2 linked regions of the Oreochromis niloticus genome follow. The protein of the gene in region 1 purifies or fractionates together with the protein of each later gene. This does not show direct contact. Links are inferred from orthologs where the notes say so. Each region holds a gene or a part of one and is shown on either strand. Other genes may lie near its edges.

Region 1 (15,173 bases):
GTGTAGGAAAGGCAGAAATGGGAGGCAGCAAAGGGGAATGTTTCCACTCTGTGCAGAACAATAGTTGGCTGCCGGAACAGCACTGGAAAGCCTCAGCCTTTTTTTTTCCCCTATTCTCCTTCCCTGTCCCGCTGCTACACAAACACACAGTTGTGCAGGAACATTTGGCCCATTCAGGTTACAGTAATGCACATGGAAATGCTTTCGGATCAGATGACCTCACAGTCACGCTGCGGCAGGCAGCCTGGATTTTTATATAAAACACACACTTGTCTTTGGACTGCAACTGTTAATCAGCACTGTTATTGTAAGAGTGAATTTGTTACAATAATAAGTCTGAATTCATACTCTGTTTGATACAAAAGCTTGACGTTCATTTATGTGTAAACAAATCAATTTCAGTTGTTTATCACTTTGTATTTTCCTTAAATATTTTACTACATTTGATTGTTTGATTTGTGTTTTGAAAGGTTTAATGAAAAAAATTAATTTGAACATAGAACTGTTTAGTTTTCAAAAACGTCACATAATTGAGAAACTGGTAAACTAAAAATAGAATGAAAATCATTTTAGTTTCAGCCCCATGTTTTCCAGAACCAGCCTCCGCACATCGGCACTCTCACATTTCTCCCTGTGACTCACCTGTGCACTAGTTTTTCTTGAGCTCTTTCCCCTGTCGCCCTCTCTGCTAGGTTGCACATTGAACAGACAGGAAGTTAGGCTGACTCTACACTATGAAAAAGGCTTCACTGTGACGAGGGAGCCAGCCGACCCGAGCGGGGGGGCCGTGCTGTACAGATACCCCTACGAGAAGCTTAAAATGTCTGCTGATGATGGAATACGCAACCTTTACCTTGACTTCGGAGGTCCAGAGGGAGAAATGGTAAATTATAGTAAAGCTACTTGTCAGTTTATGAATGCATTGTGAGTGGAAAATCTTTTTAAACCTAAGAATGTCAAAAATATTCCTAAATCTCAGCTTTATTAGAACTTTTGCGTCATGCTGAAACACAGTGTGTGTATGTATAAGAGATGGTCGTAGCTGCCATGATGTCTCCGGTTAGTTTCTGAAGTCTGCTCTGAATCCTCAACATTTCTGCTGTTTTGATTTAAACAAGCTGAATGTGACAAGGCGGGCGGGTCCAACCAACAACTTGTCTATCACAAGTGATTAGCTGATGTTTGACCAATATTTAAATAACTGAATTTAATAGTTGTTGGTTTTTTTTCTTTTAATAACCCAAAACACATGACTGAGTCCATAAAGTCCTCAGCAAAGTGTTCACAGAGGTCGGGACAGATTGCTGTTTTCCTGTAGATTTCAATAGGATTGAAAGTCTGTTTACAGCCCCTGCTATCGCCATCTGGTGGCCTTCGGGTAGAATGCAGCTTTAGGACTGGCTTCCAGAATCTCCATCAATGTTTTTTAACTGTCTGCGTGTTGAAACGCTAAACCAGCCAAAATCATGTTGAGTTTTTTCATTTAAGGGGGAAAAAAGAGAAAAGAATTTCAACAAGAAGGCAAACTGAAGCTAATGGTACATGCATAATTACAGTTCATTTATCATAAAGATGTAAAACCTCACTTACCTGTGCATTACAGACAGTAATTTACATTACAGTACATTAAACAACAGTCAAACTGACCGGAAGCTCACGTGCAGATGTTAGTTTTCCGTCTGCCGACTAGCCTGAGAGAGCTAGTATGCCTAAAGAACCTCCACCACTCAGCTGTTCCAGCTGTGCCACACAGTATGCAGTAGGGCGAGTGGATAGCGTGCCGTTAATTCTGTTTTTTAATTGTATTATGACGCCAGACTCTTTGAGATACTGTCACCGGTTACAAGAGCTGTAACATATTGTGATTACAATTATATTTATTTATTTATTGTGGACTATTTTCCTTAGATTAAGAAATTACATTTCCATCCACAGAAGGAAAGTCAAAGTGCAAATAAAGATCAGTAAAATCTAATAATATGAAATAAAATTAAGGTAAAATGCAACCTGTCAGAGATCTGTAGACCAGGAATACAGATATTTCTGTATTGTGTTATACAGTAAAATACTAAAATGTATGTTTTTAACTGGAAAACTGTTTCTATTCAGCCCATTTCATTAAAGCTGGAATATTCTCCACTTTCCATATAAGTGTTGAGGAACAAATAAAACAACAATCTACATTTGAATAAGGGAATATCTTGGATATCTTGTTGGATATGTTGAAGTTTTCTTTTGTTCCCCTTCATCCTCCTGTCCTTTCTCTAACTTCCTCCCTCCTTCCACCCTCCAGGTGTTTGATCTCCACTCGGGTCCAAAGCCGGTGGTGTTCGTCCTGCACTCCTTCCTGTCGGCCAAACTCACTCGCATGGGTCTTCTGACGTGAAGCCCGCCAAATGCTGGCAGCGTGGATGAGAGGATTCTTTTTTCTTTCTCGTTTTCATTTATTTTTAATATCTTGTTCGTTTTTCCAACTTGTCCGCTCACAGCTGAAGTCAGGCCTGACGTGGTGCTGCAGGGGGAACCTTAACCCAAGGAGGTGCTTTGTCTGATTGTCTCAAAAATGTGCCTTCTCTTCCAGCTTCTCCTCGGCCCCTTGTGGTCAGCTGCGTTGCGAGGCGAGGTACAAGGAAGGGGCACTTTGTTTTAAGTCACGAGGTGAAAGGAGACTGTTTTCACGCAAAACAAAAAGTATATATAGCAGTTAACAATCTCATAACATTCCACGTGATTGTGGGGGTTTTTTCTTTTTAAATATATTTCATTATAAATATCCGATGAGATGTTGATGCAGCCGATGTGCTTATGAGATTGCAGCACCTGTGCGCTCTAAGCAACGTGTTAGTGAAGTGCATCGAAGAAATGGAAGGCTTTTTTTTAACTGACCGAGCACAGATTGGTAAACGCTCCCAGTTTTTACTCTGCCTATCATTCCACGACAGCCTTCCGTTGTACTTTGGGCTCTTTTTAACGCGCGTGTGTTTGTCTTTGTGAGAGGGAGACGCTGCTTTAGAGTCGCGATGCAGTTACCCGAGCGGAGGTCGTGCACGTGAAAGAAGATCTCTGCGGATGAGTGCGTTTTTCCTCGCTGCACGCTGCCGTTGGCTTGATAGTGTGCCTCATACTTTTAGCACATTATCCCAAACTACTGTTGTAATCAGGATCGCCAACTGTGCCTTGTTACTTGTAGTCAGAGACACTCTTTATAGTGTTCCCCTTTTTTTAATTCACACAATAAGAGAATTTTACGCTTCGGACATGCACAAGCAATAGTATTACTCTTATAGTGTAAACAATGTTACTATTTTTTAGTGTGTATCTCCTGAAAGCATGACTTCCAGATGTTGGACTCTGTATTAGACGATGATATATGACATGACCGTGCGTTACCTCCCCCACCCACGACCCAGACACCTACACTACCACATCGTCTCATCTCATTCTGCTTCGCTTGTGATTACACCTCTCTGGTTGCCATGCCCACATCAGCATTTGTGTGGTCAAATACTTTTTAACAGGAGCGTCACATGACAGTGAGCTGACAGTGAATGTTAAAACTGCCTCACCTCCTAAAACACAAACAAAAAGCAGATTCAGGAAAGTTGTAATATCTTATTTCTGGGTGATTGAATGTTCAAAGATCAGTGGTCCTCTGGAGTACCATGAATGGCTGAGTTTACCCAACAAGTTCTACAGTGAAATTTTGCTCATTTTAAGCACCTAAAGTGAAAAATATTAAACCTCAACAGAAGTTTAAAAAAATCTCTCATATTTGGTGGACCTGTTGTGCTCGCTTCCAGCTCTTTATTTTTCCTTTAGCAGTCAGTTTAGAGTTACTACTACTCTGCCCTCTTATTTCAGCCAATCAGACGTTTTATCTCCTGTCTCTTTAAGGCTCTCCTCCCCATAAATCAAACTTTCTTCTTATAGGTCCAATCCTGGCAGCCTGACAAAGGGCAGCACCTAGAAGCCAGCTACATATGAAACCCCATGTAGCTTATTGAAAATCTTGTATGCAATCAGCTGGAATTACCTCATTTTTATAGTCACCTCAGTTTAGGAAATATTGAAAGTCTTGTAAACCTGTGATCCCAGTTTGAACCTAAAGCAGAGAGCAGTTTGAAGTCTCAGCCAAATTATGTGAAAATCTTTAATTTTATGCCTTGAAGTCAGATTATTATTAAACTAAAAGTACTGCACTCTGTTTGGTCAAGTTAATGAGCACAGAGGAAATGATGGGTCCAAGAATAGAAAGTGTCAATCCTTCCTCAGCTTCCTTGTTTGCTCGAAATAATCAGCCAGCTTAATGACTCATTCTGTAAAAAGCAGTTTCTTCATTTAGCAAATAATGTGATTTCTGCTGCCAAAGACCAACAAAGCCGACAAACGTCATTTTGATATTTCCAGTTTAACAGACTGACAGACTTCGTGTTAAGCAGCCAGGTGCACATGTGGTGACCACATTTAAATTTCATTTTCACTCACTCATGGGTTGAGTTCAAGAAACAAAAACAAAAAAACACAGGATGCAGGGTTAAGAAAAGAGTATATTGTAAACATGTAAAAGGCTCTATGTTCTAGTTTACAAGCGTGAATTAATAATAAGTTTGATATGCACCTAACAGAACCCTTCTGCTATAACCTGCTGCAGATGTTTGTCCTCCCCACTCTTTTTTTTCCAGATTAGATTTGATTGAGAGTTATGATTCTCAAACTTAAGCTACCCCCTCAGCAAGCTTTCAGAAATCAACCAATCAGAATAAAGTTAGCCTTTACTGAAAGCCTGGTGGTGTCTTTAAGGGCCTGTGGCTAAAATTACCCATTTAAAGCAGATCAAGGCTCATCTGAGGGTCTAGTAGATAAATTATCTTTTTTTTTTTTTAACTGTAAATCAAGCAGAACTACTCTTGTGGAGTCCCAGAATAAAAATATCGAGTTGGAAAAGAGCAGCAGGTGTTCCCTTTAACATCAACAATAGTGATTATAATGCAAAGTTAGCACAGGGAAATAGAATGCCAGCCATTCATTCTTGTTTACCCCTCCGATGTGCTAAAATTGTGATAATGTTGAGAAATGATGAGAGCTTGTAAGTCGTATTGGTCACTCGCAGCAGTGTTGGTGTTCATGTAGTCAGTGTGCTGACAGAGACAGTGTGATGCACGTGATATTTAACTGACTGAACCAGATTTTTTTTTTTTTTTTTTTATATTTCCCAATAGATGCAAGTTGACCATCCTTCCCCCTTCAGTTCATTTTGCCTGCGTTGGCTGGTTAATGAGTTCAACGTGACTGTAATAAACACATTTTAATCACTGTCAGCTTATTCATGGTACATGTAGCTAATGTTACCCTTCAGTAGAGCCTCTGTCTGAGGTCCAAAAGAACACAATGTGCCATTGTGCGCACTGACTGCAACATAGGAAAACAAGATAACCCCGGTTCTCTGATACGGAGCACAGTCACCCGCCTGAATGACCTCTGTCCCATTTGGGACATCGTGTCCTTGTGATGCTTTTTTTTTTTTTAATGAATGTGAAAATTCATCACAGTACACTCACTTCCTGTTTAGCGATTTAAGTCTTTTCAAGCTACAGTTAATGTTGGCTGTATTAAAGCAGAAGTAAGCTTTGCTTCCCTTAAAACGTCACAGTTTGAGCTACGCTCAGCCTGGCACGAAGTCAGTTTCTGCAACATTTGAAGCAGTAGTGAAAGGGATACACTTTTACACCACACTTTTGCTTTCTTGTCATTCTAACTGCTCTAACCTGATCTGATTATGTGAAGTTTAAGAAGCTACGAGGCCGTCCTGTTCCTCTCTGAGCTCGATGCACTAACCTGTCAAACCCCTTTTAAACCTGTGAATGTACACCTTTTATCTCCTTCCTCTCTTTGTTCTCAAATCGTGGCTGTTCTGTCTATGCAACGCTTCAAAGAAGGGGTTTTTGGAACCAAAGGTATTATCTGTGGCAGCTTGCGTCCAACACAATCATGAAACTGAAAAGTCGCGAGGATAAAGTGCTGCTGCGACAACCTGTCATATGCAAAGTATTTTAGGTTTCCTTCCAAGAGACGGTATACAATGTATGATAACAATGTAGTAATCTCAAATGTACATACCTACCAATAAAACTGTTTTAAGTTACAGAAACCCAGGTGTTGTTTTTCAGTGTTTTCAGTGGTTTTCTGTGTGATGTGTGGCCCACAGCTCAGTCAGATGAACCAGAGCATCTTTGTGTTTATGATAACGGAACCTTTTTAATACTAAATACGCTATAAACATTTTGTTTGTTTCCATTATAGTGAACTTTGACTAGACATCCAGATATTAGTGGCAGGTCAGTCTGAATGGCACTATTACATTGACTGGCTGGACTTTTGGACAGTTACTGATTACTTTTAGTACCTTTTTCAATAAAGGTCTTTTATCATTTATTTATTATTTATAATATGTTATTTATAATTTTTCAAAATTGCTGCTCAAAGAAGTACCCATAGGTCTTTCAACGTGTTTGTGGAGAAAAGGCATCAGGAAGATTTTTGGTTGGGTCATAATTTGGTGCATCTGTCAGGGATGACTGTGGATCACGTGGAAAATCAATTGGAAGGCCAGTGCATCAATTCCTGACTCCTCCAGGCTGCTTGCTGAAAAGCATCTTTGGGTAAGACACTGAAGCCCAAGTTGCCCCTGATGCATCCATCAGAGTGTGAGTGAACATTCAAAAATCCAACGAACAAAATCCAATTTTCTATTGCTGTGTACTGGGTTTATATAATGCAGTCACAATATATGTACAGATTAAAACGCACACACACACAAAAAAATAATTTAACTATACCATAATTTTTTTCTTGCATGGTTCAGTTGGGTACTCTACAACGTTGCCAAATACTTGATTTCACATGAGTGTAGTGTTTCTCCAGCTACTCCTGCCTTTAATGACAGGCTTGTGGCCGCTAGGTGGCAGTAGTTGCAGGCCATTGAACATCTGCGAAGGTCCCTGAAGTTTGTCAAGTTTGTTAGTTTAGCTACAAAACCGGAAGTTGTTTTCCAAGTTAAATGGTCTCTATAGTCTCAGAAAAATATTACATTTATATATAAATGTAATTCTGAGAATATAATATCCTTGGTGTATTATTAATAATTCATGTGGTGACTACATGTTTTCTGATTATTTTTTTTACGCCACGGCTCTTTGGAGGTCTTCGCCGGAAGCTGTCACGTATGAGCTCCCCTGTTGGTTGACGTCTTGTTGGGTCGAGCTGTCATCTTTGCTAGCCGCCGCATTAGCCACTGTTTTGTTTTGTCATGACAGGAGCGTGCAGCCCTCCTACAGAACAGGGCTGGTAAAGACATCACTTCTTCAGGTGTCCACCTTTGGGGAGGAACAGGGGACAGAAATCTGCGCGTGTCACATTAAAGTGAGATGAAATGACAACGTCAACATTACAGGTAGGTTGTTGTTAGCTGGCTAACGTTAGCCCGCTTCAATTTGGTCACAGAGCTAGCCTCTGATTTTTGTATAATTGGAGCAAAAAGCGGGGGTTTTTTTACAACTCTGAATACACTGGATTGCGTGCGGAACGATTTTCTGGAAGCTACGAAAACTCTTCGAGCCACTTGGTAGATAATTTATTTTTTTCCACTGAACGATTAAAGAAAGCTTCTGATTCAAAACACAGTTTCCAGCCTGTCGGCTACCTACATACAAAATAACGGTTAGCTCTTAAACCTAAGGTGGCTGGATGTAATGCAAGCTAAACTGCTAACAAAACAGCTGATGGTAAGATTGTCTCGGTTTGGTGTTACAATAACTATGTCGTCTAGATTACATATTATAGAAACAATAGGCTTTAGTGCGGGTACTGCTGGCTGTGCCTCGCCTGGAGGATGTTTCTAACGGTATCTGCTGTCACCGTTAGCCGGCCTGTGTGGCCCTGCTCGCTCAGTTAACAGGACAGAAAACAAAGCGTTGCTGTTTGGGGGGGACTATTTTAGTCTGACGACTGGCTTTAGAAGCAGCACAGTGAATATTTGTCTTAAGGAATAGCCTGTTCTTTGTTTTAATAATAATAACAAATTTTATTTGTTTATCACTTTTAAATAAATAGAGCTACAAAATGTTTCACAGTTTGAATAAAACCACACATTAAAGACCGGTGAATATGTTCCAGCACACAGACACAGAAACACATGGTCTTGCATTCATCGCAATATATACACGCAACTTTTATACATACATCAGATGTAAAACTATAGCCACAAATAATAGGAGAAAGATTGTTTTTCTTTTCTTTGCTTTTCGTTTCTTTTTTAAAGTAAATTGTATAAAGCTCTCAGTAATCCTATAAAACAAACCACAGGTTCAGCTGAACTGAATGACTGAGAAATGCTGTTCCAGAGTTTAGGAGGTGTATGCAAGAGCTTGGCCATGTAGGACTTTATGCTATTAATAAAATTTTGAATTTCACTGGAAGCCAGTGAAGAGATGCAAAAATAATTGGGAGACAGTTACAGTGTGTACTAAAGGTTCTGGATAATTGGGTGACAAAAAAGGTTTCATTTTTGCAATGTTTCTTTAATGAAAGAAGGCTGGGTGAGCTTTGAAATGTGAGATTCAAATATACTAGATAATAACAAATAATACTAAGGTTCTTAGCAGATGATTTGATATTATCAGCGAGCAGGCTTAGCGTAATGGCTGACTTCCTCAGTGAATCTGTCAGGGCCGAACACAAGAGCCTTGGTTTTGTCAGGACTGAGATGAAAGAAATCTTTTAAAGTTAATAATGGCAGTGAAGCATTCGCTCAGGTACCAAAGGCTGTTGAGCTTGAACTAACAGAAAGGTACAGCTGTGTATTGTGTGCATATCATTGATAGCAGGTGCATTTAAAGCTATTAAGCAGATGGCCCAGGTATAATATACGCAGTGAAAACAAAACTGGAGCCCTGGGGGAATCCACAGATGAAGACATACTTCAGAATTCATATTCAGACAAGTGAAACCATTTGAGAGCTGTTCCTGTGATTCCAACCCAGTTCTGTAATCTGCTGGCTGAAGCTTTGGTTTTGAGTGACATAAGGATGACATGTGTTTATTGCCTGTTTTTGACTCCATTGTTTAACGTTATATCTCTGCATCTGCTGCAGAAAGCCATTGATCTTGTCACTAAAGCCACAGAGGAGGACAAGGCGAAGAATTATGAGGAGGCTCTGCGTCTGTACCAGCATGCTGTGGAATATTTCCTACATGCCATCAAATGTAAGTATCTTATCTTGATGGGTAGCTGAGGTAGTTTGTGTTTTGCATACACCTTGCTAATGGGAACATCTTCTCTTACTCCAGATGAGGCCCACAGTGACAAGGCGAAGGAGAGTATACGAGCAAAATGTATGCAGTACCTGGACAGAGCAGAGAAACTGAAGGACTATCTGAAGAATAAAGACAAACAGGGCAAGAAGCCTGTCAAAGAAGCACAGAGCAATGACAAGTATGATGTCCTTTTTTCTTTTTTCTTTTTTTTGTATGTTTAAATGTAAAAAACATTTTGGGCTTTATTGGATTTTTATGTTCCGTGTTCTAGGAGTGACAGTGACAGTGAGGGTGAAAACCCTGAGAAGAAAAAACTGCAGGAGCAGCTTATGGGTGAGTGGCCTTGGGGGGGATTTAACCCCATCATGTGGAGCTCTGTAAAAAATATTTATTTATGATATTATTTCTTATAATTTTCTTTGGTTTTGTCATAATCATCCAGCCTTGTCTATTAATTGCATCCCAGTAGGTGTGTCATCATTACTGTTTTTTGTGTGTGTAGGTGCTATTGTAATGGAGAAACCCAATGTGAGGTGGAATGATGTTGCTGGGCTGGAAGGAGCTAAGGAAGCTTTGAAGGAAGCAGTCATCCTGCCCATCAAATTTCCTCACCTTTTCACAGGTACTGTAGGTCTCAAGTTTCTTCATTCTGTTTAAACCCAGTAAGCAGTCATACACTGATATCAACACTACTTTAAAGACAAACTTTTCTTCTGGGTCTTTTTGTTTCTCAGGCAAACGGACCCCATGGAGAGGCATCCTGCTCTTCGGTCCTCCGGGAACAGGGAAGTCATACCTGGCCAAGGCGGTGGCCACCGAGGCCAACAACTCCACCTTCTTCTCTGTCTCCTCCTCAGACCTCATGTCAAAGTGGCTGGGAGAGAGTGAGAAGTATGTTTTCAATGCATCATTTCAATTCAGTGTAATTTACATAGAGCCAATTCCCAACAAGTCTCATCTCAACGTGCTATAAATTATCAGGTAAAGGCCGTACAATATTGGAGAGGGAAAATGGATGAACTAGTTTTTCAGCATTACTCTGAGTCAGGAGTGTTTCTAATTTTTAGTATTGTACACTTGAAAGACGGCAGTCCTAGAGATTTGTTTAAGCGAGGTAAAAAGGAAATATCAGAAATGCTTCTAAAGTTCCTCACAGCCTTGGGGACGGCTGTTTTCTTATCCTAGCAGAATATCAATTAAACAGCTCCATAAATATGCAACTGTACCAGAGTAGAAACCTGAACTGAAACAGTTTCGTAAGTATCTTTTTAATAAACAGATTGATATGGGATTTAGCAAGTAGAAATAACTGAGATAACTGAGTATTTTGGAATTTTAATCTTTAAAGCTCTCATCTTAAATTGCATAAAGGTGATGAGCAATAATTACAACATTTGTTACTTCAAAGACTAAATAGATTTCTTAGTAATAAAAAACTAATGGTCTAATATGGCTATCCCTCAGACATATTTACTCCGTCTCTGCTCGTCTGTCTCAGGCTGGTGAAAAACCTGTTTGATCTAGCTCGCCAGCACAAACCTTCAATCATCTTCATCGACGAGGTGGACTCTCTGTGCGGCTCGAGGAACGAGAACGAAAGCGAGGCTGCCCGCCGCATCAAGACAGAGTTTCTGGTCCAGATGCAGGGTGAGTCACACGAGTGCTATCGGATATATGAAGTGTGAAGAATATGGAGTATTAAATAATATTGTTGAAATATGAAACTTGAGCCACAGCCATTTAAAAAACATGGCGTCTGCAGTGTCTCAAGTCAGATTGATGTTGTGAGCAAAGAGGGGCTTTTCTCAGCCTCACATCTGTGTCAGACTGAATGTGCGAATCTTGTTAACACTTTGTGGAACCTGGATCACATCACCATGATGGATTGAAATAAAGGACATTAAGACTACAGCAGCCTTTTCAGAGTTCATAGAACCATACAGAACCACAGAACTTCACTGTGCCTGCTCTGAACCACAAGAGGAACTTCTAAAAAACACAAATGTTTGGTGATTTTCTGGATGTAAGTGTATGTGGTGGCAGAACTGGTAACCATCATATGTGAAAAATCCTTTTAAACATCAGCTTTGTAAACAGCAGTAGAGAAATTATAAGAGAGAGACATGGCACTGAAAGAAGCATGAACTGTGGGGAAAATATAACCTCCAGGGGGGATAAAAACTTCTAAAATGTTATTGTGGATCTGCAGAGATTTGTCATATTTGACTGCTGATTCTATACATGCAGTTTTATGTCATGGTCGTCACTGAAATTAATTTAGACAGTGTTTTAAAATAAATGCCCAAAACATTTTAAGATGTGAGATTTACTCCTTTAAGGACTGTTTAGGGTGGCTAGCTAGAAAAAATGGAGAAAAGGTATCCAACCCTGTATTTTCAAATATTTGACAGTAAAAGTGCACATTCACTGTTTGTGTAAAGAGCTACAAAGAGCTGGTGGCATTATTGTGTGGCATCACTAGCTCATCATTGTTTATATTGTATAAACAAATTACACTGACCATTATTCCTGCTACAATCAGTGAAGAGAGTTTTCCAGAGTTTCAAAAGAAGTGCTTGTGTAGATTGACGCTCTGCTTTTGTAGGTGTCGGAAACAACAACGATGGCATTCTGGTGCTCGGAGCCACCAACATCCCCTGGGTGCTGGACGCCGCCATCCGCAGAAGGTCAGAGGTCGTCTCAATTAGATGTGTGTGTGTGTGTGTGTGTGTGTGTGTGTGTGTGTGTGTGTGTTTGTTTTGTTTTGTTAATATTCTGTGGGGCTTTTTATTCCATAAAAATTTACTTTCACTGTAGCTGCACTGTTATTATTCATCACAATGGTAATTCTGTCATGTTACATCTAATTCTTGTGTGTTAAGAAAACACAAACCTTTGAACCCGGGTAGATTCTGATGCTGTTAGTTTGAAACCAAATCGAGAAACCACAGGGCTTGAAGTGTTGTTGTTTTAGGATGAATCTGAAATCTAAATTACTATTAAATCCTCCTGCATTTGGGGAATATTTCAAAAAGTGATTTTCTAATCTGTTTGTCTAAACACATGTTAATGTTAAGATTCATACTGCTTTTTGACTGCTGACCATGATGTCACAGTCTGAAGTCGTTTTTTCTCCTCCTTTAAACTACTAAGCTGTTAACAAAACATTTGTGCGGACACACACCTGAGCTCCAGCTCTCATTTTGAATGCTGACCATGTAAAACATTGTCCAAACTTCTTGTGAGTTGTTCTCTATGACGTTTAGAATTTAATGTTGGCTCCAGATATTTTTGGACAGTGGCATGATTTTTGTCTTTTTACCTTTGTATCAATATATACTTGGGTTACTGCTAAATGCTTAAAGCTTCAAGTGCAAACATTGATTTCTAAGTTGAGGGGTTAACCCATCGCATTGCATTGACCACTGAAGTGTTGCATCTGTACTTTAACACTTTGACAAAGTTGGCTGGCATATCAATATTCAGGCTATTACTTTGGTCAGGAAATGATTTCAAGTGTGCTGTGGCTGTTAATACAGAAGTAGTCTGCAAAAAAAGAATATAGTATGGTTATTATTAAGATCGTGAGTGGATAACTATTTTGTACATACTGAGAAAAACACACATGGAAGCACATGGAAAGACCTGGAAAACCACAGACATGGGTGATGACAGGATCTTTTCTATAGTAAAGAAAAGCCCCTACAGAACATCCAGCAAAGAGTAGAGACCAACCTCCATGAGGTAATTATATAAAGTCTAAATGAAGAAAAGATTTCAGGAGACCTGCCCACAGGGAAAACAGGAAGGGCCAGAGCTTGCTCTTTAACAGAAACTGAATTTTCAAAATAAGAGCGCGTTACTTCGGCTGGATGGACAATTATGAAAAAAGTCTGTGCTTTGAAAACAGTGCACTGTGTGTGATCTGTTAGAAGACGTTGGCTGAGGCTCATCATGTTATGTTACCATGGGCACATTACAAACACAAGCTGCTGGGAGATAGTTCAACTTATTTAGATGGCCACAGAATCACAACTAAACAGGACTTGGAGAGACCAGCAGTACCCAACAACACGTTCATCAGCGGCTACACTTTGCCTCCATTTAAGCACAAAAGCTGAATTTCAATGTTAAAATGTGGAAAAAGAAAAGTTTCACTTGAAATAAGAAGGATGTGGCTTCAAGAAGGAGGTAGTTCCTTCTGTAATTGTTACTGAACAGAGTGAAAGATCGCTCTGATCGACAGGTCTCACCTCACTGAGCAGGGCAGGCAGTATAAAAATCATCCTGCCTCCTCTTGGGAAATGGAGTTAAAGAGTTCCCAGCAGCTATCAGCTTTCCTGTCACATGTGTACAGGCTTGCATTGTTGGTGAATAGTGCTGGGAATGCAAAAAGAAGACAGCTCCTGTAAGAAGTGGCACTGAAATCCACAGCTGATTAATAACATCTTAAACTTGTAATTCACTCAGTGTCTTGTGGAAGCATAATCTTAAATGTGTACCCAGTTAGAAGCATATGTAATACAAAGTGTATTATAGAATTATTAAACAAATCAGAGATGCGGCTCTTGGACTCCACTAAATGAGCTTTGTAGGATTCAGAGCTCAATATACTCCCCTTGGAGCTGCCCCTGTCTCTATAAGGCTACCCACATTTTAAGCCAACTTTGGTTATTATTCATCTGACTGGCTGCTATTTGCATGCCTGAGACCTTATTAGGGATATCCATTCTTGATCATATCATATCGAGCCAAGCATATAAAAAATGTCTAAAACTAATTCTATTAGAGCAGCCTGAAGTCTGAGCTACATAGACTGAGCTGATTATTTAAAACTTTGGTCGTGTTTAATATAAGCATCAACCAGTGGAGCGGGATTTATGGCAGAAATAAGGAAAAGCGGTCGATCTACAGCCAGTGAACCCAGTATCCAGCTCCTGCTTCACTTCCATCCATCCATCCATCCTCATCCGCTTTATCCGAGGTCGGGTCGCGGGGGCAGCAGCCTAAGCAGAGAAGCCCAGACCTCCCTCTCCCCAGCCACCTCCTCCAGCTCATCCGGGGGAACACCAAGGCGTTCCCAGGCCAGCCGAGAGATATAATCTCTCCAGCGCGTCCTGGGTCTGCCCCGGGGCCTCCTCCCGGTGGGACATGCCCGGAACACCTCACCCAGGAGGCGCCCAGGGGGCATCCTTGTCAGATGCCCGAACCACCTCAACTGGCTCCTTTCGATGTGGAGGAGCAGCGGCTCTACTCTGAGCCCCTCCCGGATGGCCGAACTTCTCACCCTATCTCTAAGGGAGAGGCCAGCCACCCTTCGGAGGAAGCTCATTTCTGCCGCTTGTATCCGCGATCTCGTTCTTTCGGTCACTACCCACAGCTCGTGGCCATAGGTGAGGGTCGGGACGTAGATCGACCGGTAAATTGAGAGCTTCGCTTTTACACTCAGCTCCCTCTTCACCACGACGGACCGGTGCAGCGTCCGCATCACTGCAGCCGCAGCACCAATCCGTCTGTCGATCTCCGGCTCCCTTCTCCCATCACTCGCGAACAAGACCCCAAGATACTTAAACTCCTCCACTTGGGGCAGGAACTCATCCCCGACCCGGAGTGGGCACTCCACCCTTTTCCGGCTGAGAACCATGGCCTCAGATTTGGAGGTGCTGATCCTCATTCCCGCTGCTTCACACTCGGCTGCGAACCGTTCCAGTGCGAGCTGGAGGCCCCCACCCGATGAAGCCATCAGGACCACATCATCCGCAAAAAGCAGAGATGAGATTCTGAGGCCACCGAAGTGAAAGCCCTCCGCCACTTGGCTGCGCCTAGAAATCCTGTCCATAAAAATTATGAACAGAATCGGT
Region 2 (15,841 bases), on another chromosome or scaffold:
TAGTAGCAAGTGCGAGAAGTGCTGCGACAGCATCATTCACAATGAGTGCACTGGCAATGCTAAGTGGGCTAAAACAAACAATCTATACACTTCTTTAAAACACCTTCACCTTAGATTGATTTCCACAGAGGACTTAGCATCTAATAGCAGACTAATAGAGAGACTTTACAAATCTATTTTTTCCAGAGTACTGACCAGATTTCTTGTTTCTTAATGTGCTCAAACTCAGTACAATGCAAACATCGCATCCCACGTTCATGCAACCCCTCGTACAACAGGTTTTCTTTATGCTAGGAAAAGACGTCACGTGTGAGTCTCCTTTATCGTGCTTATTCTTTCCACAGCATCCATCTACTGAAGTATGTATATATGTGCAGTAGTAGAAGCTTGCACTGGTACAACTAAAAATATCACCTGAATTCACATTGGTAAAAACAGGAAGCATCTGTGTCCAGAGTACTCATAATAGTCATCCTAGATTTATCAAGTGTGATCCATCTTAAGAGAGACAGCATTTTAGGGAGTGCTGAATCCTTTTTTGTGAAATCGGGGTTGAGGACAGAAGAGACAGGAGGAGGAGACGATGTTGGGATTTTAAGGAGGAGGGGTGAGCAGAAGGTGAAGGCTCCTCTTTTGAGATGCAGTCCATCACTGAATACATCCAGCAAACCTCCCCACCACCGCCACCACATCTGCACCTGGCTGCACTGGCTTTTGCTCCACATCCTCTTTCTCTTCCTCCACCACGACTGATGCCTACCGATGGCATACACTAGCCTGCTCTTTATCAATGACGTTAAGCCTCTTTTTTTTTGCCCCCCACCCCACTTTACCCCACTCTCCTCGCTGTGAAGAGAGAAGATGGGGCTCTGGAGGGATAAAATCATTGTTAGAGAAAGACACCAAAAAAAAATCAGTCATTCTCCCTTACCTTGCTGTCCAGTGAAGAGGAGAGCCTCTCTCCTCCAGGAAGGTTTGGAAGCGAGAGTGTGCACATACACTCACATCCACTATTATGCACTGCTCGCTCACGTTCACACACACATTTACGCTCGCACACGGACCTACACGCTCTCAAGCTCATGCACACAACGGCGAGGAGGGATGGCTCTCAAGCGAGAGCACACTGCAGGCTGCCGCTTGCCTGGGAAAGCCTGATGCGTTCCTCCCTCCGGGCAGAAGCACACACTGCCATCTCAAAGGCTCTTTGTTGCGGCCGGTTCATCCCCAGCTCTGTGGCTGAGTGCTGATTCGTGTACCGGTGCCTGCTCCCGGGGACAAGGGGGTGTCCGTACAATGGATGGACAAAGCCATGAAAAAGAAAAGCAGCATCCAGGAGGAGAGGAATATCACAGCACCATGTAGCTCCTTCCATCCACCCCCCTTTTCTCTCCTTCTCCTTCTCAGGCTCGCTGTCTTTCTCCTACAGACACACACACACACACTCCCTCCCACCTCCCTTTCTCTCTTACTCTATTCCTCCTCCTCTCTCTGCCTCTCTCTTTATCACTTCCCTCCTTCTCTGCCTCCTCCCACTGCCTCACTGGGCTGCAAAAGAACTGATAGCAGCATGTGCCTGCGCCCGTGTGCCGGTTTCCAGTGACTGTAAGGAGAGGAGAGCTCTTCAACACCTCATCACCTGGGATACCTTTCATCCCCCACCCTCTCCTCTCCTCTCCCCTCCCCACCCACCATCTCTCTGCCTCTCTGTCTCCTTTGCACGTAATGTGGGTGACACGAGAACACGAGGGTGCTGCCTTCACCCGGTGCACTGATGTTCACTCAAATGTATTATCCATGAAATGACATGGTGCGGGAGATGACAGATGGCAGAGGAGGGGTTGCTGTATGTACCGATGCTTGTAAAAAGGGGTGTGGGACTATCCCTGTAGAGGGGCTTCGATCCTCATCCTTACACTGTCTTTCGAGTCTATCGTGACCCAAAAAACCCCCCAAAATCATTGCGAGTGAGGACACTGAAACTAAAGTTACAGCCACACTCCTGCATCTGATCCGGCATCCTCATTATTTGAGCGAAACATTTCCCCTCTCCTTTTACCACAATCATTTCCTGAATAATTTATACAGAAGCTAAGACCAGGCACGAAGAAGGAAAATGTATTAGGGTCAAGTCATGCAGAAACTGCCTGCAAGAGTGAGCCACATTTAGGGCATATGTGTAATACATGGCATTTTGATATGAAAGGCACTACGACAGGCTTAAATAATGGTACCCCCCTCCCCCTCCCCCCACACACACATCAAATAAAGTGAGGTGAAAAACGACTCCACTAAACCAATCTGCATAACAGTGACAGATTTTCCTGTTAGGGGTATGGCAGACACAACCCCTCCCTCTCTTTCACTCTTACTAGTCAGCATCATTGTCACAGATATTAACTGGTGTGGTGGTCTTCTTATAGTCATGATTTCCTTTGAGTTCATGAAACGGTAAAAGATAGATTAAAATGCACAAATATGGTGATCACAAAAACTACTCCATTTTTTACCAGGGCTATCTGAGCTGAGGTTGCTTATTTATCCTTATCTCTGCTTGCCCAGTATGAAGGAAAGCTGCGCAGGTCAAAAGGTCAATAAATGAAACATGTCTTCCTGTTTCCGCGAGAATGCACAGAACCACACAATTTTGCTTCGGTGGTTTAGCGCAGACATAAAAAGAAAGCTACTGCTGCACTGTTAGGTAGATATCATTTTTCTACTTGAAGATGAAATTTATTTAATTATCACTTTCTTTTTGTATATATGTATGTATGGAGTATTTTAAGAGTGTGTATTGTATTGCAATAAAAGGAGAGACTAGGAGATGTTATAAATTATTTTTACATGTCATCTTCACTAAGCGGTCCTCTAAACCCGGCGCTCCTCTCGGATAAATAGTGTAAAAGTAGCTTGTGATGTAAAACAGATTTTACAATGACAATACTGGTCTTAAACCACAGTGTCATTAAAGTGAAAGCCCCAAAGCTGCATAAGTAAGACCACTTTAACTCCTTGCATTTCAATTCATTCTATTGTTTAGCATGAATATGTAGGAATTACACAGCAGGCTACCGGGGCTCAGAGTATTAAGCTAAAGCAAATGTAATTTTTCATTTAGAAAAAGAAATCCACTGACATTTTCAGATGACCTAGAAATCCATTTTTAAATCTGTATGATTAAGACAAGCACTGCAGAAATCTAGAGAAAGCCTGTGGCATTAACCTGCCAGCTAATGAGCAGTTAGGTAACCAAACAAATGTGCAAGGTAATGTAAGTCAAAGTTCTGACTTACTAAGTGGAAACAGTGAGATAAGTCAAACATGATCAGAGAAAACCCTAAAAAAATACCACTAACTCATGATTATAAGATAATAAGCTGTCATTTTCATGGGTGTAATTACATGTAATTACATAACATTAAGCCAAATTTGAGATATATAAGTATATATCAAGTAGTGGCCTCGGGAGAACTGATAGGATCGAAGCGAAAGTGGTAAAAATACTGATTCATCGGTTAGTATATTAACACGCTGGGGTTGCTGTCTGAATTACATAACCATGAGTCAAAATTACAGAACGAAATCATTGTAGATCTAAATCAGGAAATAATCTTCATAGTTTAAGTCATGAGCTATAGTTTCCTTTTCTGAAAGCGTATGAAATTCCACAACCAGAATGATTGGAGGGGGGAAAAGGGGCTGATGATTTTGCTGCTGCACGTTTACAAGCTGCTCTGTATCCGTGCAAGCCTGATGGAAGTTCACCTCAGTCCTTCTCACCGGGCAAAACCTCTACTAGTGACTTAAAGTGAGTCTAGGTCTTGGACAGAAAGCTTTCTGCTAACTGGTGCATGCAAACACAAACCATAGGCTACAAATAGGTAAAGACTACACGGCACTCGAGTGTTCTTGTCCGTCGCAGTAAGAGGACAAAAGCTTTTCTTCTCCGAGGGCCCGTCTACAGAGCATTACGGTAGATGGCCTCCTCGTACCAGCTCTCCAGTGCAGTGCGGAGAGCTATGGATTTTCTGTCAGGAGTCGCTGGCTGGGACGAGCTTTTAATAAGTCATGCCAACCGGCGAGCCATAGAGGATGCATTATGGTGCAGTTATGCTGTTATTATGATGGGAGCGCATCATGTTGCCCATCACTTATCACTGAATTTCAGCTGCTCCCAGCGCTAAGCCACAATTTAAAGTAGACAGTATGGGAACTCACCACTAGAGAGGATCTTGGCCGGCAGTGTCATATTTCCACTGTGAAGTGTGCTCCTCCAGTGATCCACTTGCATGTAAAACTAACACCGCTTTGAGCCACGGTTCATCAGGACAGTGGCTTCCTGGGGATAACCACAGCCTGATCTGCTCACAGCTGCAAGTGGTTGATTTCACTTGCTAATGAGCCAGCCACCTATCTTGCAGCCATTCATCAAAGTCTGCCCAGCAAGTTGACTGTGTAAAGTGGACCCTGTCATCACAATAGATTAAAAGTTTAAGTGTACTTTCAATGCTTTTTGGGATTCTGGGTAAATACTTCCTGAATTACACATTAGACATTTAAATGCATTTTTATCTGATGCCCCCACCAGCATCAGATTACAGTCAGCACTAAACTGCTCTGGTGTCCTGTTAGTAATTAAGCAAACACCATTACCTGGAGTGCAATCTATGCTTCCCCTTGCAAGCCCCCTGCTGACAGTGCATTACTACAACCCCCTTTGGTTTCTAAAAGAGAAATTAACAACCACCAGTAATTGGTTTGGTTATTGTATCAAGTTTATTGGACATCAATGTTACATGGCCTGAAAGGCGCATGTACTCAAGTGTGCGCATGAAGCCCAGCTGAAGTGTCTCACTGAAACCCATTTTTGACTGTGTTGGATTAGAGTAGAAAAATCTGCTCAAGAAATACTGAGCAAGAAAAAAACAAAAACAGAATACATACAAAAAAACTGCTTAAGAACAATGGATGCAAGCAGGAGTGAAAAAGGAACACATTTGAGTAGTCGCTTGGTAGCTAAGGCATGCACATCAGTTCAGTATCAACATGTATTTACATCTATGTTTTTTCTCACGCTAGTAGCATTTTTACTAGATTACATTACAGTGTACAGGGGTTCCCATTATTTGGTCCAACCACTGTATTTGCACGAATCCAATACACCTTTTAGTGTGTCTTCAGCTCCCAGGGTATCCCCCCAAAAAGCTTTTTTGTTTGTTTATAAAGCCTTCTGAGTAACTGGAAATCTATGACAATATTTACATCTGGATGATGAACAGTCACTACATGATCTAGTCAAAAATGGTAAAAACTCAGAAAAGGAACTAAATCCCATTTGGAAGCATCAGTTTGCAGCACCAGCTGCAGCTTCATCCTTCTGCCCTTCCTCTGATTCTTGTGCCGTCTTTTTGAAGAACCGTTCAGCTCGCAGCTCCTCAAAGCAGAACTCAGCAGCACCATTTAGCAGCAGCTCTTTACAGTACATGCTCTGCTCCTGTTGTTTTCCCGATTCTGCCTCCTTCTGCTGCTGCTGATGGTCCTGCAGCCTTTTGAGAGGAGTCTCCTCTCTGCCCGGCTTACGCGCTGACAAAACTGTGTTAACTGCTGGGTTGATCTTACATGGAGTCCTGAGGGAGGGACAGAACAATGCACTTACATTCGGGTTAGGAAGACACTAATCAACATGTGACATGAATATAATATTTAGCAGGTAAAACAATGACATAAAACGGCAGATAAAAACTGGATCTTTTTCTGATAAATGCTACTAAAAATGTGAAGAATGCTAGAAATACTTTTTAGAGGGAACTCAATACTAAACAGTTTCCCTTAACTGAAAGTATTTATGTTTGTCTATTCATGTTTGTAGGTGCCTCCAGAAAACTGCACCTAGACTGAACAAGCGAATGATATGACAACTCAGATGAGAGAGGAAGACTTTTTCTATTTGTTTATTTGGGCTTTTCAATTAAATGTGTGTATACATCCACAGATCTTGGTACTCAGGCATTTCTGTCTGTTGTCTCTTCGTCTGTTCTTTTTTTCCCGGTCAAAATAATGATTTAAATTAAAAGTGAATGAATAAATAAATAAAGGTATTTGTAGTAACTCACATTGTAGGAGGCTGATCTGACTCCTCCACAAATGGTTGGAAAGTGAGTTTGGGAGGCGGCGGAGCCATAACAGTATGCCCAAATTTGGACTTCTGGGGCATCTATGACGACATAAAAAGAAAATTATGAATCAACTTTGCATAATGGCTTTCAACACACACGACAATGAGCCTGTTCTCCCATACCTTCACATCACACCATCGCTCGAGCTTCTGCTCGTTCTCCTTCGCCCTAGATGTGGGAGGAGCCACCCAAGCTTCCAATCTAGGCTCCGATGGGCCTGCGCTTTGAGCCTTATTCTCGTCAAAGATGACCAACCGACTGTTACTGCCAAGAACAGGGGCGCCTTGTGACTTCAGGCCACCGGGAATACCTGAGTACAAACCCATTATGTTTTTCCCAGTCTTAAAGCACTGTTATCATCGATGTAGTATTTTGAAACAGATTTTATTTGTATATTCATGTGCTTACTTCTGATCGCAGCCCCTGTTCTGTTGACGGGGGCGACAGCCTTTTTCTTCCCTCTGTGTTTCAGATCAGCTAGAGAAACTCTCTCGAGTTGCTTAGGCTCATCATCACTGTCTTCCTCCTCCACATTCATCATCACCTGCCGGGAAACGCGTGCCTGCAGTGCCCTGCGAATATAAATACAGAAAAATGTGATCACTGTAACAACATAACAGAGATATTCATTTATCAGAAACTATACTGGAAGACTCCATACTTGTGAAACTGTAGGAGTTTATCATGTGGCTCAGCACTCTTTCTGAACCCCTCTTGGTAGACCAAGTCTGCTTTGCGGAAGTTGCCCTGATCCTCATACTCCTCTGACCAAGCGATGTAGAGGGAAGCTTGTGTTACTCCAATTCCTTGTGCTTGCATGTATCTGTAAATTTCCAAAGGCTCTTGGCAGTTCTTCGCCTGGTGACATGTAATAAAACGTTATAAATGCAGCATTAGTTTGTCAAAGTAACAGAAATAGTCAGAGGTTATACTTTTGCACTCACAAATTTGATCCAGAGGTCAACATAGCGGGGGTCATTGTGATAATGTTTCTCCTCTGTAAATCTGGTCACGACTCGTTCCAGCAGTGTGGTAAGGTTGCTCTCCTTTCCTCCCTGGGGGAAGGTTTGTTCTGTCCACTTAATATACCTGGAAAAATAAAACCGTGTTAGGATTACAGGGAAATTTAAGAGCAATGCTTATGAGCACACTTGGCTATTGACATATTTCCCTTACCGATCCCAAACACTAAGTGGATCATCGCCCTCGTATGTGCGCAACTCAGACTCAAATGCCCTGCAGAAATAAATATCCACAAGGTCTTTTTTCATCATATGAAAAATGCATGGAGAAATTGTACAACAATTTAAGTTTAAAATAGCCATCCATACTGTCTCTGTTGGTTGATTGCAGAGGTGGGTCCATCTTGTTGTTGACTCAGCGCCTGATGTAAGGCCGATATGGCTCTACCCCGCCTCAAAGGCTGGATGTTTTCTTTGCTGAGCTCCCATTCCACATCTCCTCCTTCTGCCATTTCTGAAACAGAAACTAGATACATACAGCAGGAGAATTAATTATTTGATATTTATCCCCTGCTGAATTTGTAATTAAGAATTAACCAGAACCCCAGAAAAAAAAAAACTGCAAAGTTTTAAATGGATTTGTTATTTGTTATTGAGTTAAATAAGTACTTGATCCCCTACAAACAGCCAGAAGTCTGGCTCCCACTGATTGGCTTTGTGCCCATGTGGCACACAAATTACAATCAATCAATTACAGATACCCTGATCTCAACTCGTTATGTGTATAAAGCACACGTGCCCACAGAATCAGTCCTGGATCAAAGCCATTATTTCGCCCTCTGTATACACACATTTAATTCAGTTGCTTGGGCTTTTTAAGTCGTCCTATTTTTTTCATTTCTAATCTGTAATCTAACTTTAATAAGAAATCATCTTATGGGCAAATCAATAGAACAATAAAAATTAAACTTAACCCTTTAATGCCTAGTGTATCATATTTGACACAAGAATTTTTGAGACTACTACATCATCAGTGTGTTCAGATTTTCTGAGGTGGCCTTCAGAGTTTTATCTATGCTTTAAAAATCTACCACAATGCTGTTGTTTCTCTTTTTTCCCCAAGTCTGCCTGGATAAGCCTTGACTCAGATCGTAACTTGAGGGAGGCGTTGGGTGTGCCACTAAATCATCCTTTTTATAACTCAAAAATATTGCTAGAATGCAACCTTTTATCTTGGTGACTCTGACAAACCAGTTTTATATACATAGCAGGCAGGACTACTCTAAGGCTCTGCTATCTGATCTACCTAAGATCTCCTTGAGTTGATTCAGATATCTGCTGCCAGACTTACTACGACCAAAAGGAGAGGACACATCACACTTGTTGCAAAGTCCCAACACTGGGTGCCTGTCAGTTTCTGTATTGACTTTAAAATCCTTTTATTTAAATCCTCTAGCTGTTGCAAAGTGCAAGACAAAAACCTCTGGGGAGGCAGCTTTTTCAGTGTTATGCCTCAAGCTGCTGGAACAGTCTGCCAGAGGACCTGGATGTGTTGAAATCTTTAAACTTAACAGCCCCCTCCAAAGCCTAGGTGTGACTGAATATTCTTTACACACAGCCCTTGTTTTAATTTCATATAACTTCTTTGCTTTAAGTAATATGTAGTTTCATTCAGTTTTTATTTAGCCTTAAAATTATTTAATTTTTCACTGGTCAAGTCTGTTACTTGTTATTTCGTTTGATGCACTTTTGTTGTAGTTGTATTTAATTTTAAATAACTTTTTTGATGATATACACAAAGTTTATTATTACCTCTGTATAGCTAAAAGTAATAAAAGTATATATTACAGTTACTGTCATTATAATTGTTTATTACTTAGTCCTTTTGTGTGCGAACTAAATGGCATGGTGACCAAGAGGCATACTGAACAAGTTTTAGGACAACATGAGCTAACGATGCACTTCGACAACAATACATTTTTTAATAATGATGTGGTAAACTGCCATCGTATTACAAACCGTGTGACAGAGACACAAAATGATGTTTAATGCAGCTATCAACACTCTCCCTGCGTTCCTGCTAACGTTAGGAAGTGCATGCGTTTGGAGCTAACACACTAGCTAGCTAACGATAGCTTTAGCCTGACCAACTTTAGCAATGTTTCCATCGACGACAAATTTTCCTAGCTGAATTAAAATAGACTTTCTACAAAACGTGCGTGTTCTATACCGCTTCCGAGCCTCCTTTATTTCTTTTCTAGGTGACAGCTGGAACTCCAACGTTGTCGCAGTAAACCTGTTGAACGGTTGTGTCTGTGTTTTGAACAAGGACCGCCAGAGGTTTTGCAGTATTCTGATTGGACGATTCGGAAAACCGGAAGATGCGTATGCATTACGTCACACCTCAGCTTCCGCGTTGCTTCCTGTTTTGAATGAACACCTGAAAATAGTTGCTAGTAGCTAGCTGCCAGATTAATGCTCACGACTGAGTGTGTTTTCTTAGGCATTTTAACCCACTGTAGCTGTATCGATAGCATTAACATTCCCCTACCCATGAGCCTCTGCACGTGTCGGTATGGACAGTCGATGTTATTGTTGTGCGTCCAAGTTTAGCCTCTTCAAGAAGGAGGTGAGTATTTCACGGCTAATGCTAACCACATAGACATACATAGGGGTACATTTTGAATAAAGTGATCTGTTTACTGTTCGTCATAGCTGGGCTGTAAGAACTGCGGCCGCTCCTTCTGCTCCAGCTGCTTGACTTTCAGTGCTGTGGTGCCTCGCTGTGGCAACACCCAGCAGAAGGTCTGCAAACAGTGCCATGGTAATCTGACCAGGTAACGCTCAAACCCTGCAAGGAGGAAAAAAAAAACTAAAAGTAGTTTTGTTTTGGCTTTGGAGCTTCTCTCTTATTTAAAATTCTTTCTTTTTAGTGGGCAATCTTCAACCAGTGCTGGCAGATGGTCTCCTCCAGAAAACTATAAAAAGTCAGTGTATATGATCAAATAAGGGAATGACTTAAACTTTGGCAGCACAGCAGTTTCATAATATCTAAAGTACACGTGTCTTCCATTAGACGGGTCGCTGCACTTGAGGCCAAACAGCAAGGACAGCCGACACAGCCTGTGAGGACTAGCAAAGCAGGACATCCACTAACCAGCGGCCTGAGCAAAGAAGATCAGGCGATTGCTGAAAGGCTTCAAAAGCTCAAGGAGGACACAGCACCTAGTAATAAGATTTTTAACAGCTCTCATTTTTATTTAATCTAGCAAGTGCAGTATTATTATAATATTTTCCAAAATAAGGTAAGGAGTAAGCTTTTTGCCTTTTCTTCAGAGTCTGTCCCCTCTGACAAAGAGCTCAAGTCCCGACTTGCTGCTCTGAAAGCTCCCAGCAAGCCAGTACCTTCTGCAGAAGAGATGGAGGACCGTCTGGCCACTCTGCGGGGCCTCCCTCCACCATCTCAAGCTCCTCGACCTGTGAGCTGAATCTCTTCCTGCTTGTTTGTAACATCTTAGGCCTTACAGTACAGCTCAATAGCTTCAAATATTTATTTAGAGGGAACTCAATACTAAACAGTTTCTCTTAACTCCAAGTATATATGCTTGTCTATTCATGTCTGTAGGTGCATCAGCCTCCAGAAAACCGGACCCAGACTGAACAAGCCAATGATTTGATAAGTCAGATGACAGAGGAAGTTGCAATTGACAACCAGCAATCAAATCCTGAATGCAGTAAGATATTGCATTTCTCCCTGATTTCACCTGCCTTAAACCAATAAGTAATGAGTCAGTCATATCATTCATTCTTATATCGTAAAATTAATAAACCGGTACTGAACAACACTGTTATTAAATCTGAAGGTGTAGATGGCCGTATGAATGATCTCAATAAAGGTGAGGCAGGTACACTGGATGAGAATTTGGAAGAGAACCAGGATGCAGCCAAGCAGCTGGAGGCTGAGAAAGCCCATCTGCTCGAGGAAGCTATGGAGGAGCTGAGGAAAGAGCGTCACTCTCAGGATCAGATCCTCCACATGGCAAAGAGGCTGGCAGAGCTGAAGGGGCAGGACCCGGACAAAGGTGAGTTATTCGAGCACCATTCACCTCACCTTATCTGTTATCCACTGTTTTACACTAGTGTGTCATAAAATACGATAAGGACGTGCGTTGTAAATGCAGTTTCCATGACAGAAGTGCTAGTATGCTAGTGTATCATGCCCCATTTTCATTGTGATTCATTTATAGTTACTATGGAGGACTTCCAGCAACCTGACAGTGAAGAGGAGACTGAAGAAGAAGCTGTTATGAGAGTGTTAAAACAGGTGTGGCAAAAATAACCATCAGATGATAATGAACTATAAATAATTTGTTCCTGCATACATCTTACACCCCTAAAGGCATGAGTGAACTAATTCAGACCAGTGTGCCTAGCCACAAGGGGCTGCTATTTTGCCAATTTAATCACTTCTTATTTTTTCTTGTATTCTTTCAGCTCTCAGAAGAAACTGTACTAGATGAGGCCAGTGGCTACAACATACCTTTAGAACAGAGTGGCCCAAGGAATAGGGAAAAGAAAAAATCGTCCAAGAAACCGGTACAAAACCACACTTGAATTTTTTATTTTTTTAAAGCTACGTGAGTGCATAAAATTTAAATCCAGATCTGATTTTATTGTAAAGGCTCCACCTCCGGCACCTAAGAACAGGAACCTACCTGCTGCTGATGCACATCAGCAATCAGACAGTGATGAAGAAGAGCTTCCATGGTGCTGCATCTGTAACCAAGATGCCAGCCTTCGATGTCACACCTGTGATGGAGATCTGTACTGTAACCGCTGCTTCAGGTAGTATGAAATGCATTAATTATAGAAAGAAAGAAAAAAGCCTAGCTTTAGACTCATGGTTGACTTTTGCATGGAAGCCTTGACTGCACACAAAAAAACAAGATCTCTGTGATTTGGAATGCATACCATGACCCAGATAAATTGCAGGCAAGCTGCTGCCCTACTGTTAAGCAGCATGAATATAAAGTATTTAGTCTGATGAATTATCAATCCATGCTTCATTATGTCCCCAGGGAAGGCCATGATAAATATGACAGGAAGGAGCATCGCACCACTAACTACACTGCGCCAAAGAAGAAGAGGAAGACATGATAGTGAAGCTATGCTGCAGGTGATTGTTAGAGTTAGGCCAGCCATCACACTTAGACTTGTTCTTTAGCCTTAAGTGACTTACTATTGTTAGAAAACAGTCTCTCTAATCATCTAAAACAAGCCACAAACCATCAGAACTCATTAACATATTTTATTCAGTAAATGCTAAGGCTGAACTAATTGAATGGCGCATAATAAGAAACTACTGGTAATATTTCTTGCAAAGCACCGGCTAGATAAGGACCATAAACACAATGTAAATGCAATATAATATGTATAATATCTTAAATATAGTTTATTTTTTGTGGAATGTGTAAAAATAGACGTATGTAACATTTGCAGAGGCTGCTAGACAGTGAAAGTATTGCAGCAAACCTGCACGGCCGCTTCACATAGGAATCCCAAAAATGAATATGGTTGATCTGAATAAGAAGTATCGGGTTTATTTTTATTTTGACTTGTCCTACTTCCTAATGACAACAAAGGCTTATTTAAAGTGCTCTTTTGCACTTGTCATCATATGATGATTTCCAAATTTTTATAACCCGTACAGAAAGCAGACACATCGTGAGCTCATCTGGGATGTTGTACAATCCCAGACTGCTGTCAGCTCCGCACCGAGGAAGCACAGAGGAGTCAGTATAAAAGGATTACTAAGGGCTTTGTTTTCTTTTGGCAGTCACTGCAGTCGCTCTTGTAATCTATGTTTGGCTGTGTGTGTAATTTGATTATAAATAAAGGATAAGTGTTAGCAACTATGTCAAGTCGTTGAGAGCATGCAGCATACCTTAGCTTTATTTTTAACATTAAAGCCTTTTTTTCCTTTTAGATCCAACATATTATTACTAGATAAAAAATATCTCAGTCTGGCAGGCCTTGTAGGGAGTGCAATTCTTATAGTATACATGCCTTCTTTGTCAGAGAAGTCGAGGAGAACCATATACATTTCTATAGTGGAGACCTCACCCGAAAGACCCTCTGTGTTTGACAGAGAGAAGGCCAGAGTGCAGGCTCATCAGCGTGCATTACTGTCTGGCTGAGGAGAAACCATAATTACACTCTTCTCTTGGGGCTTGCTCCATTAAGGTTCATGTGGAAAGTGTTACTGTGCCTTTTCTGGCCGTGTCATACACGTACCCCAGACAGGAAATGGACGAGGATAATGGATGCATACTTAATGGAACATCTTGTTGCTGATCTCACTGTGTTTACACCTACTCTTGACATGTCAAAGTTTCCTTTGTTTCTGCCAATCTGTTGAAAATGCCTGAAAACACTACCTTATGTTTTGGGAATAAAATGCTGACTGCTGTTCTGTAGGAAAGTTGTCTATAGACAGTAGGGCAAAATCATTATCTGTGTTTCTGAGCAGTTGTGAGCTCAGGGTAGTTTAACTGGTACTGTAAACCAATTAGTGTAATGTACACGCCAATATTTATTTGAATGAGTGGAAATGATAATACCTGATGAAGGATATTGGTGTATCACTTTGTTAAAAATCAGATGTGAGCATTGTCTTGAAAATGTTGAAATGTTTTTATTTTTAATTTTTTTTATTTTGACAACACTGTTATCTGAACAAAAATATTTATGTACATAAATAAGCAACTAAAAATGTACAGTCTTACACAAAAACAGTCCGTCTGAGTAATAGTCAGTACAGCTTTTATCACGTGTACGTTATTGGTATGGTATTGGGAAACGTTGAAGCAGTCCATAAATGAATTTGAAATAACAACATTAATAAAAAAAATAATAAATTCAATTCAAAACCCCACAGCTCTGGTGTTACATTGATGATGACCCAGCAGGAGGAGGAAGAGGAGGCAGGGGACAGGAATATAGTCCCTCTGATCCACACCTACAGGCATCCAAATGGTTAATGTGTGGGGCGACGAAGATGAGCGGCTCCACATTGTCTCGATTCTTAATTTGACCTACAATTATTTCTTCAGTGGACCTGACATTTTACGTAGACCCTTTATCCTGTAGAGCAGCCCGTTGATAAAATCCTATGGAGAAGATGGGGAAATTTAATTTTTTTGTTTTAATTTTTTACTTTTTGTTAATAAGTAGACATAATATTTCAGTGTTCTTTTCTAAGTTTTTGTCTCACCTCTTTTGGCTTCCCGCATTCGTGCAACAACTCCTAATGAACAAACAGAAAGAGGCTTACACGTTTTCCATTTCTTTTTCTCTGCATACATTGCACAGCAGGATTTCATTATGAGTCAGTTTCTTCTTAAGGACAACCAAATACAAATATGTATATTATTGCTGTCAGCGTTAATCTCGTTAAAATGACTTTAGGAGGGCTGCACGGCGTCAACGCGTCAGCGCGGTTAGATCTAACGCGTTAGCGCCGTGCAGCCCCTCGCGCGGGCCGATCCGCGTCAACTCGCTAACAGAGATTTGCGGCGTTTATGCGGTTATGGCGTTAACGTCATTTTAACGAGATTAACGCTGACAGCACTAATGTATATATATGTAATTTAGGGGAACTAGTTGCAGAACCACTCAGCAATAATAAATACCTGACAAGTCATTAACAAGCAATTGGAATATCTCATCAGATCTCTATTTAGGTTATTCTACAGAAACCTACCTCCAGCCGGGTTCTTTGCCCCTCATCCGACAGCTCCAGGAGCTCGTCTATGTCGATTTCTAACTCTGGGATCTCTTCTTCCTGTGAGAGTGGAGAGGAATAAAAGTTAAAGACCATATTCACTGATACTTGTGTTTCTGCATGCCTCACAAACTCCTGCAAATTGGATTGTATAATGTGGGCTTCTTGGCTTTTTATCCCTCCTCATCTTTCCAGCCAACTAAATGTAGTCATTCAGACAGAAGACTAACGCATTACTTTTTCAGTTCAATTCCATTTTATGTATATAGTGCCAAAACAGAACAAAAGTCGCATCAAGGCACTTTAGAGAGAAAATCAGTCAGATAGTTCCACCCGATGAGCAAGCACTTGGCGACAGTGGGAAAGAAAAACTCCCTTTTTACAGGAAGAAACCTCTGGCAGAACCAGGCTCAGGGATGGACAGCCATCTGACGACTGGTTGGGGGTGAGGGGAGGAACATGGGACAAATTTATTAGTTAGTTATCTTGGTGTGGGTTTACTGTAGAGGATAAAAACATTTTATATAAAACAAAATAAAAAATTGATTGACTTGATGGGAAAAGTTCAGTGGGCTGATGCATGAAGACAGAAAGGCTGTATGAGGCCAGGCTTGCAAAACGCCATCCTCATATTTTATGGATGGTTTAGCAAGCTGTCATTTCCAGCTCCGCCACTTTTTTACATATTAATCTCTGATGCACGTCACATGTTTTGAATTCTGCACACCTGGAAAAGAAAAAACAACACAAACCCACGAGCGCTCCCAACTGCAATGTAACGACCTATAGATGGCATCATTTTTAAAGATTAACGGCAATTATATATGAAGACTGTAAAACATAGCACTCTCCACTCTCAAGGCCAAATATAGCAAAGCAATCACTTTATGTAACGAGCTCTGAACACCTTTCAGGGAGAA

What was found.
Region 2: the proteins of vps4a (region 1) and zfyve19 purify together in Homo sapiens (affinity purification with mass spectrometry; 3 studies listed by BioGRID and IntAct, counting the BioPlex papers as one, with this or other methods). This does not show direct contact. The link is inferred for Oreochromis niloticus from reciprocal best matches to the Homo sapiens genes VPS4A and ZFYVE19.

What each region holds. Positions count from the first base shown.
Region 1 is NC_031972.2:5,172,976-5,188,148, forward strand, and holds the start of vps4a (vacuolar protein sorting-associated protein 4A), read left to right. Parts: upstream 1-7,212; 5' UTR 7,213-7,429; coding exon 7,430-7,450; intron 7,451-9,149; coding exon 9,150-9,261; intron 9,262-9,345; coding exon 9,346-9,490; intron 9,491-9,583; coding exon 9,584-9,645; intron 9,646-9,814; coding exon 9,815-9,934; intron 9,935-10,046; coding exon 10,047-10,203; intron 10,204-10,810; coding exon 10,811-10,959; intron 10,960-11,917; coding exon 11,918-11,999; intron 12,000-15,173. UniProt on the Homo sapiens protein: Involved in late steps of the endosomal multivesicular bodies (MVB) pathway. Recognizes membrane-associated ESCRT-III assemblies and catalyzes their disassembly, possibly in combination with membrane fission.
Region 2 is NC_031983.2:8,745,419-8,761,259, forward strand, and holds zfyve19 (abscission/NoCut checkpoint regulator), read left to right. Parts: upstream 1-9,532; 5' UTR 9,533-9,713; coding exon 9,714-9,767; intron 9,768-9,853; coding exon 9,854-9,975; intron 9,976-10,071; coding exon 10,072-10,125; intron 10,126-10,214; coding exon 10,215-10,366; intron 10,367-10,474; coding exon 10,475-10,617; intron 10,618-10,763; coding exon 10,764-10,872; intron 10,873-11,001; coding exon 11,002-11,220; intron 11,221-11,385; coding exon 11,386-11,462; intron 11,463-11,632; coding exon 11,633-11,734; intron 11,735-11,819; coding exon 11,820-11,983; intron 11,984-12,216; coding exon 12,217-12,295; 3' UTR 12,296-12,314; exon of another isoform or gene 12,315-12,848; 3' UTR 12,849-13,819; downstream 13,820-15,841. Other genes in the region: bub1bb (mitotic checkpoint serine/threonine-protein kinase BUB1 beta), read right to left, coding at 5,345-5,627, 6,114-6,214, 6,299-6,486, 6,585-6,748, 6,838-7,034, 7,121-7,265, 7,353-7,412, 7,508-7,650; ppp1r14d (protein phosphatase 1 regulatory subunit 14B), read right to left, coding at 14,239-14,307, 14,412-14,444, 14,901-14,981. UniProt on the Homo sapiens protein: Key regulator of abscission step in cytokinesis: part of the cytokinesis checkpoint, a process required to delay abscission to prevent both premature resolution of intercellular chromosome bridges and accumulation of DNA damage.